Drosophila melanogaster: one gene and its partner. The protein of the gene in region 1 interacts with the protein of each later gene in a pairwise test. Each region holds a gene or a part of one and is shown on either strand. Other genes may lie near its edges.

Region 1 (3,926 bases):
AGTGTCATCCCTAAATTGAGTTGACAACCCTAATCAGCTGCGGCATTTCGGTCTAAAATTCTTGGAATTAAATACGTGGCTCTGTTTATCTCGCACAAATTGGAGAAGTAATGTCTGCTGGCAGGTAGCAGGCGCACCTGTTCATACAAACTAGTTGCTAAAAAAAGCCCTACAATGTGGACCTGCCTCTGCCAGCTCTGTTTCTATCTACTCTCGACGCTTGCAGTCGCTGCGCTGTCGGTCAGATCTTGAATACATTCGCCTATCTTTCTTATTTTTACTGATAATCCATCGTTTAGATTGCGGCTCTGGTGCTCTACAAGACGAAGCCCTATCCCAACATCAAGCGGCACAAGGATGAGGAGACCTTCCTGGACCCGCACACCATTAAAACAGTGACTTTTCCCAGTCTCGAGGACTCGCCAAGTTTGGAGCTCAGTGTCATCGTACCAGCTTACAATGAGGAGCAGCGCTGTATGTTGCTTATTTGTTTTTGTTTTGGTGAATCACAGTCAACATTTTATCTATGCCCATTTGTGATTGATTGTCTGGCACCCGAATTTATCTACAGAAACTTCATTACACTAACATGTTACTTTAAGTTACTTTCCCCAAAAGCTATTCGATTTTCTTGTTCTCATTTGTGTGTGTTTATACTCGTTTAGTGCCTTCTATGCTGGACGAGTGCTTGGCCTTTCTGGAACAGAAATCTGCTGGCACTCCCAATTTCACATACGAGGTCATCGTGGTCAGTGACGGCAGTCAGGATGCCACCGTATCCGTCGCCTTGGGTTACTCGAAAAAGCACGGAGCAGAAAAGGTACGCGTGCTGGAACTCATCGAAAATCGTGGGAAAGGAGGTGCCGTTCGCATGGGTATGCTAAGTGCACGGGGTCGTAATCTGCTCTTCGCTGATGCGGATGGAGCCACCAAGTTTCCCGACTACGATAAACTGGAGGTGGCCCTCAAGCAATTAGCTCCCGAATGGCGAGACGATGGCATTGCCATTGGATCGAGAGCACATCTGGAGAACGATGCGATTGCAACAAGGAGTTTCTTCAGGTAAGATAAAATCCTACATTTATTAGCTGACCAAATACTGATCTGCGTTGCCACAGAACAATTTTGATGCACGGCTTTCATTTCCTCGTCTGGCTGTTTGCCGTGCGCTCCATTCGCGATACCCAGTGTGGCTTCAAGCTGTTCACCCGAACGACGGCCAGGAAACTCTTCACCAGTCTGCATGTGGAGCGCTGGGCCTTTGATGTTGAGCTGCTGTACCTCGCTGAGAATTTGAAGCTACCAATGTCCGAGGTTGCCGTTCGATGGACGGAGATCGATGGTTCGAAACTGACACCATTTTGGTCGTGGCTGCAAATGGGCAGGGATTTGTTCATGATCTGGGTGCGATATTTGGTGGGCGCCTGGCGGATTGCCTCCATACAGAAGAAGGAAAAGTGATGTGGACTTGGAGGGCATCTCATTCCCAATATTAACTAGCATTTTGTGTCGAACTTACTCCGCTGTCGTGCATTACCAAAACTCTTTTAACTCTAAACTCTATTTTTGTAGGCCTGATAAAGTGTAACGAATTCTAGCTAGTTAAGTACTTAAGTACAGTATTTTTTCAAATAAAAAATAATTGATTTGAATAAAATTGCGCGGCAATGGTTCTAAATTGTTAGTAATCTAAAAAAAGTAACTATACCAAGTCGTCTTCCTTTAGTATATTGCGCTTTAAATATATAAAGTTTCGTCACATTGCTTGTTTAATTTTGGAACGAAGAAATAATTAAAATCACTAGTTATTTTTTTGAAATATTGAAATACGCGGGAAAATAAAATAAAAGGCAGTATGTGTGGTATTTTGTATTCTTCTGGTATTTTAAGAGTAGTTATTTTCATATCGGTGTATCTCCCCACTCGAAGTGCGGTCACACTGCAAAGAAGTTGCGGCGGCGCGTTTAGTTTCGTATTAAATCGTTACTATTTAATTACAGTTAATTAGTGTAAACAAACCAATCAAACATAGATACAGCTGCCACGTGAATAAACGGAAAAGATTCTAGTTAAAGCGTAGGATCGCGAGTGCAACTGCCATGGGCGCCGCTAAGTAAGGAATTCCAGGAATCCTACGTTGCGCCTGTTGCTCCTCTCCCGCTCTCCAAAATTGCGTGCAGGTGTGTGCGGGTGTCTGCTCGTCTGTGTGAGCGTCTCAGCTGTGCCTGCGTTATATATTGTTTATAAAGATTTTTTCGCAGTATGCAAATGCTGAACAAGCCGGTCGGTTGATATTTCGTATTTACTCTCGTCGCCGCGCAAACGAAAGTGTTTTGTTATTGTTGCGTTACCCGTTGCGTCTGCCCCCTCCAATTGGAGAATTGTGATTTGTTAGTGGTGTGCGCTGCTGGTGTTGTTGTTGTACTTGCTGTTATTGTTGTTGCTATGCGGTCGGGTCATTGCTTCAAATTGCTCAATCAACGGCACTTGTGGTAAGCTGGTGAACTGGCACAGTTATCAATTTTATTCCTCCTTTCCGTCCCCTTTTTATCGCTATCGAATTACATACATACTTCTTTTGTTCTTTGTCTTATCAGCATTTATTCAATTGCCCAGCAAGCTGCGCTTGAAACTATTGTATTCTGATAAGAAAGGCGAACTCTGTGCTCGACGCATTCTAATCAGACGCCCTTGCTTTTGCATTTTCTGAATGCATTTCATTTTAAGGCATCGTGCAACGCAAAAAAAAACAAATCAAAGTTAATATAAATAATTATGCTGTGCTGATTTTATTAATCAGCTTATGGCGACTTTAGCTTAAAGTCACAATAGAAACTAATTACACGAAATTTTTTGTTGTTGTAATAATAACAAATAGAAGTACTGCTAAAAAAATATCGTTTACATAGTTGCTTAACTTATTTTAAATTAAAAATCAATCTTTTTGGAATATAAAGTAACTCAAAAATTGATTTCAAATTAGACTGAAATTCTTGCTAAGGTCGCAGATTCTCCAGTCTTCCTCTTCCACTAGAAAAAGCGCGACAATAAACAAAAATTAAATGCAAAGAAGAATACAAACTAAGCGCGACCATTTGCGTGGCGAAATTCAAAGTCAAAAACGAGTTGCCAGGCCACGCCCGCTATATGTATATATACATATATACTATATGTATGTATATTGATGTGCTTATAGCCCAGGTCTTTGGGCCTCTCGCTCCACCAAAAAGATTTATGTACACATTGCGCCTTCTGCCTTTTTGCCATCCTTTTTTTCCTTTCTGTGCCTCGGTCCGTGTTTATTTTATTACTTATGGCCATGCGCGTTGCGCTGAAGATTCTGATTCTCTCGCCCTCTCTTTTTACGCTCCGTTCGCCCATGCCCCCGCACTCCGCTCCTGTTTTTGTAGCGGCTCTGCTTGATTAAAGCGCGTGGGGGGTGGGGGGCGTCAGGAGACGGTGAGGAGGAAGAGTTGATCAGGAGATCCAGCCAATTGTTGTTGTCGCACGAGCATTTGTCGCCTTAGCTTTGTTTCCCTTTTTTGCAGACGCGTCCGTTCATGTTCCTTGATGATCAGAAGCGGATTTGTGAATCAGATAAAGAAAATCATATCGTCAGAGTAAAGAAAACTAAAACTTTTTTTTATTAAACAAACTCTTTTTAAAATCATCCTTAGTAAGATGTTTAAATAAATCAATAACTCAACCATTCCCGAATTCAGAGCACTTCGCTCCTGGAGTCTTCCTGCGTCTTGTTAGCTTTTGTTGAAGTGTGATAATGCCAGAGATCGTGTGGTGGCTGCTCCTCCGCTTGGAGCCACCTTTTCAACGGCCCGTTTGTTTGCGTACACGCTTCTCGTTTTGCGAAATGGAAGTTGTGGGGACAAGGTGGCAAGGAAATGGGGAATATGCCGCTTTGGGGGCTA
Region 2 (3,926 bases), on another chromosome or scaffold:
AAACTTTCATACCAGTAATTTGTTTTTATTTCGCGTGCAATTTCCAGGAGCAAGTTGGCTCAACTAGAATGGGCTACATACAGGGGATGGCTTTGTGCCCACGGACAAACCCAAACGATGCGGACATGGATAACATATAATGCTGGGCCTACGGATGAGCATAAATGTACATATTCCCAAACCCCAAACTTTCTGGCACAAGTACAGACATAAAGCCTTTTTGTTAGCTTGTGCAAGTAAATTGCACCGTTGCAAAAATGCCAAATTCCGGCCCATTTGTGTGGCGCGGCCAAAACCAATGTAGATTCGGTGCTATGGAGAACTTGTCCGGCAAAAGCCGAAAATAAAAAACTTCTGCACTCGATGCGGTGACGCTGGGCCTGAACTGTGCATTGTTGGCTAACACCTACTATAATTTATGGCCGACTTGTAGCCCCCAAAGCACTAGGAGAGCTATCTCGACCAGACTGCAGACTATCCGTGGGCTTACCTCATGCCCACCGAAATATATAGATACTCCACCACATAATCTGTCACATAAAAAGGCATATTGACCAAAAATGAACACAATTATTTTTCATCTTGATTTATCCATACCTGTTGCAGTTCTACATGCAATTTGTTTACACTCAACAAGCTAAATATTAGGGCCGAATTCTATATTGTTTATGAGCTATATGCATCTATATTATACATCGCTTTGAGCGAGCTTTTAATTAGTCAACGTATGTGTTTTCTGAATGAGAGTCGCGAAGCAACTGACGCATGCTGGTTCGGTTCGTAGAATTCGTGCTTGACCTAAGATCTTATCAGTACCACTCAATTCTCTTATCGAACTGTTGTGGAAACAAACATGCTCTTATCAGTTTAGCTTTGAGCTCATTCAGTGTGTCAAAACAATAGGCTTTTCACTCGAATATTTAATGGGCACTGTAGAATGTGAATTATTGATGCGTAAACGATGCAAAAATGTTTCTCAAACTTAAAACACTTGCTTTTGCTGATAATACATATCTGCTTACTTATTCATCAAGCTGAGTGAGATATATATATCAAACACATTATGCTCGACCGAATAATGACATCCCACTCTGCCGGTCGCCAATAGACTGAAAGCATGAGCTCTGCTCACCTGCTTTTTTTTTTTGGTTTTTTATACCTTTCGTATATTGGAAGTTTTGAAGATGTTCAAGATCTTTGAATGTGTCTTAAGAGAGGTTTTGACCTTTTTTCGCGGGAAAAATCCGCGTGACGCATTCGAGTTTACAATGCATTTGGGCAAGCAAATAACTATACTGGCACTTAGGTAAATAAGCAGTCGCGGAAAAGCTTTGTTGAGTTGTTTTTGAACTTCCGCGGCGTTTCCATTGACGACGCTGCTACTGCAATCGACCCCATATATCCACCAGATATCGGATGGTCGCTAAACAGATAAGCGCTTTGATTAATGAATGGGTCTCGGAGCACTAAGCTTTATTGTTCCGGGGAAATGGGGGAAATCCCAAGGCAATGCGTGATGAACTCGTGAGTGAGTGCTTTAGTAAGAGAAACATATGATTAGACTTGGTTTTTATATGTACAATATTTACATGAGAATGTTGGGCAATATGCAAGACGAAGCCTTAACGATTTTAAAATAATTACTTATTCTTATCAATGGCCGATTATGTGTCTAATTTGTATTCAAGTACACAATAATCTGCACCAACTACTGATAACTCAATTAATAATAATGCTCCGATCCACAAACACAATTCCAAGCGAGAGAGAGAGAGCAAAGAGAGGCTCTGAGCAAATGCGATCCACAAGAGAGCAAGTTCAAGTTCGTTTCTTGTGGCGGCTAAACAAGTTTTTCGTTTTTGAGAGCGCGAGTAAGCGGATATTTCGGGAGAGGTCTTTGGGACTGGGGCTGGGATCTATAGCTTCAGTTGTCTGTCCGCCGAGTGGTTCAACGCATCGCCGATCAAGTCCCACCGATCTGGGATCGCCCCATACGCAACCCGTGAAAGTTTGTGGATACCAGTTTCAGTGGCTTTGTGTACAATCTATATATGTGAAATTCAGCGAAAATCCCACCCTAAAATAAAAGTAATAATGGCTGCAAATGAAAATCAAATTTAAAATATATACTACGTGCAATTGGGTGACTCATTGTTACCAAAAAAAAAAAAAAAAACAGACGTGTGAATTCAATAATTAGCATATTGGAATGGCCTCTTTTGATGGCCCAATGTGGATATTTATATAATTAAATGATGAGCTTTTATTTTGTTGTCTTGCTATGGAGAGCAAGCACACCTCACCTAGGCGTTTTCTTCAGTTTCTAAACTTCCTTTTAAATTATTTGAATACACAAAGCATTCCCAAGCCGCTCTCTTTCGTCCCAATCTATCTGTCTTTTTCCGTGCGATCTTAAACTATGTGAGAGTGTGCACATACAGTTGCGGACAAAGATCTAAAGTCATACATAAAATATAAAGATAATTAAAGACAAGGTCGTCTTTATATATAATGCTCTATTAGAAGAGTAAACACCTACAATTTTTATAAATATTCCATTAAAATATAGTTTAACGTGTTTCAAGTTATGTGAAACTATTTGAATGTAGTTGACTCTTCTGGAGATTTTTCAAATATTTTCCTTTGTCAGTGTTGAGTGGCCTGTCGCTGCTATTGCTTTGACCGCTGCTGTTTGTACATGTATATTGGGGTTGTGCTCGGTTGCCCAGTTTGTTTTGCTATTGCGCCATGCACCCGATGCCGTATACGTCAAAAAGAGAAATCGCCGACCCGCTTCATGACGCGCAGCGTCTTAAGTTATATTTTCTTTTAGTTGGGCGTGATGTCTGCCCTTCACTTAAATATTTCAACAATCATATATTGTATGCTGGATCATTGCAACCAGTTGGCAGTGGCATTTGGCATGCAATATTTCCGGGCTAAAACAAACGACTGTTTCCTCTTTGTTAATTTAATAAAACCCATTTCTATGGCGGAATCTGCAGAATGCGGACGACACAAACTCCCACGCGTTTATATGTTTTTTCTTGTTTTCGATTTTTTTGAACACGTTGTGCAGCAGCTTTTAATTAAAATTTCATCACCTTGTCTCAGTCCTCGGACATCTGGCAGGCTGCCTTTTAGGCGGTTGATTGCGCAATGGTTTATCACCATCACAACCACGAAAGTCGGATAATACACTGCAGAAAACAATTAACTTCCTGGCGGAGAAGAAGCCTGCTGCTGACCATCATTGTGGTCACAGCCACAGTGGTTTCACTGATTTCACAAGAAGGTAAGTGTTATTAAGTGAATATTCTGTAGGGCCTGGTTACAACTGTAATTAAGCATACACATTATGTTGGCACCCTTCACACGTCCAACTATTGTAGATTATCTGTCAGATTGGCTATATGAGGGTATCGGGTCAATAGTCTCCGTCTATCGCGATGTCGCAACACGTTAATGACCACAATATTGATGCGTAATTGGCGCCCGAAACAATGCGAATCGCTCTTGAAGTCCCACAATGGTCCAATTGTCCCCGTGGGCGAGAAAAACAAATGAAATTGAGCTCCAGTACATTTAGCCTTGACCGTGAATGCTCCACCAGATTGCTGGGCGACATTTTGGCGAAGGCGTTTAATACCCGGTGTTTGAACTCTTAATTCGACTAATGGGCCAGGAAATAGATTGAATTTTATTTGCACTTTTAATAAAAAAGCAATAAATTGGGCATAGAAATCAGAGTTCAACAACTTATTTGCCAATGTTTTCGGTGCAGAAATATAAATATTGGGAATAGTTTTCGCAATTCAATATTTATTTTATTAGTTTCGCAACTAATTGTGATTTAAATAATAATAGTGACAAATGAAGCTTTAACAATTTTATTAAATTTGTGCTTATTTTTCTTTCCCATGAGC

The links.
Region 2: the proteins of Btk (region 1) and Cad96Ca interact in a two-hybrid assay, tested with the Drosophila melanogaster proteins (one study listed by BioGRID).

The regions. Positions count from the first base shown.
Region 1 is NT_033779.5:8,299,072-8,302,997, reverse strand, and holds the start of Btk (bruton tyrosine kinase), read left to right. Parts: upstream 1-2,251; 5' UTR 2,252-2,492; intron 2,493-3,926. Other genes in the region: wol (wollknaeuel), read left to right, coding at 175-240, 300-474, 666-1,062, 1,119-1,461. UniProt on the Drosophila melanogaster protein: Required for proper ring canal development. Also required for the development of male genitalia and for adult survival.
Region 2 is NT_033777.3:25,206,282-25,210,207, reverse strand, and holds the start of Cad96Ca (cadherin 96Ca), read left to right. Parts: upstream 1-1,924; 5' UTR 1,925-2,088; intron 2,089-3,114; 5' UTR 3,115-3,159; coding exon 3,160-3,295; intron 3,296-3,926.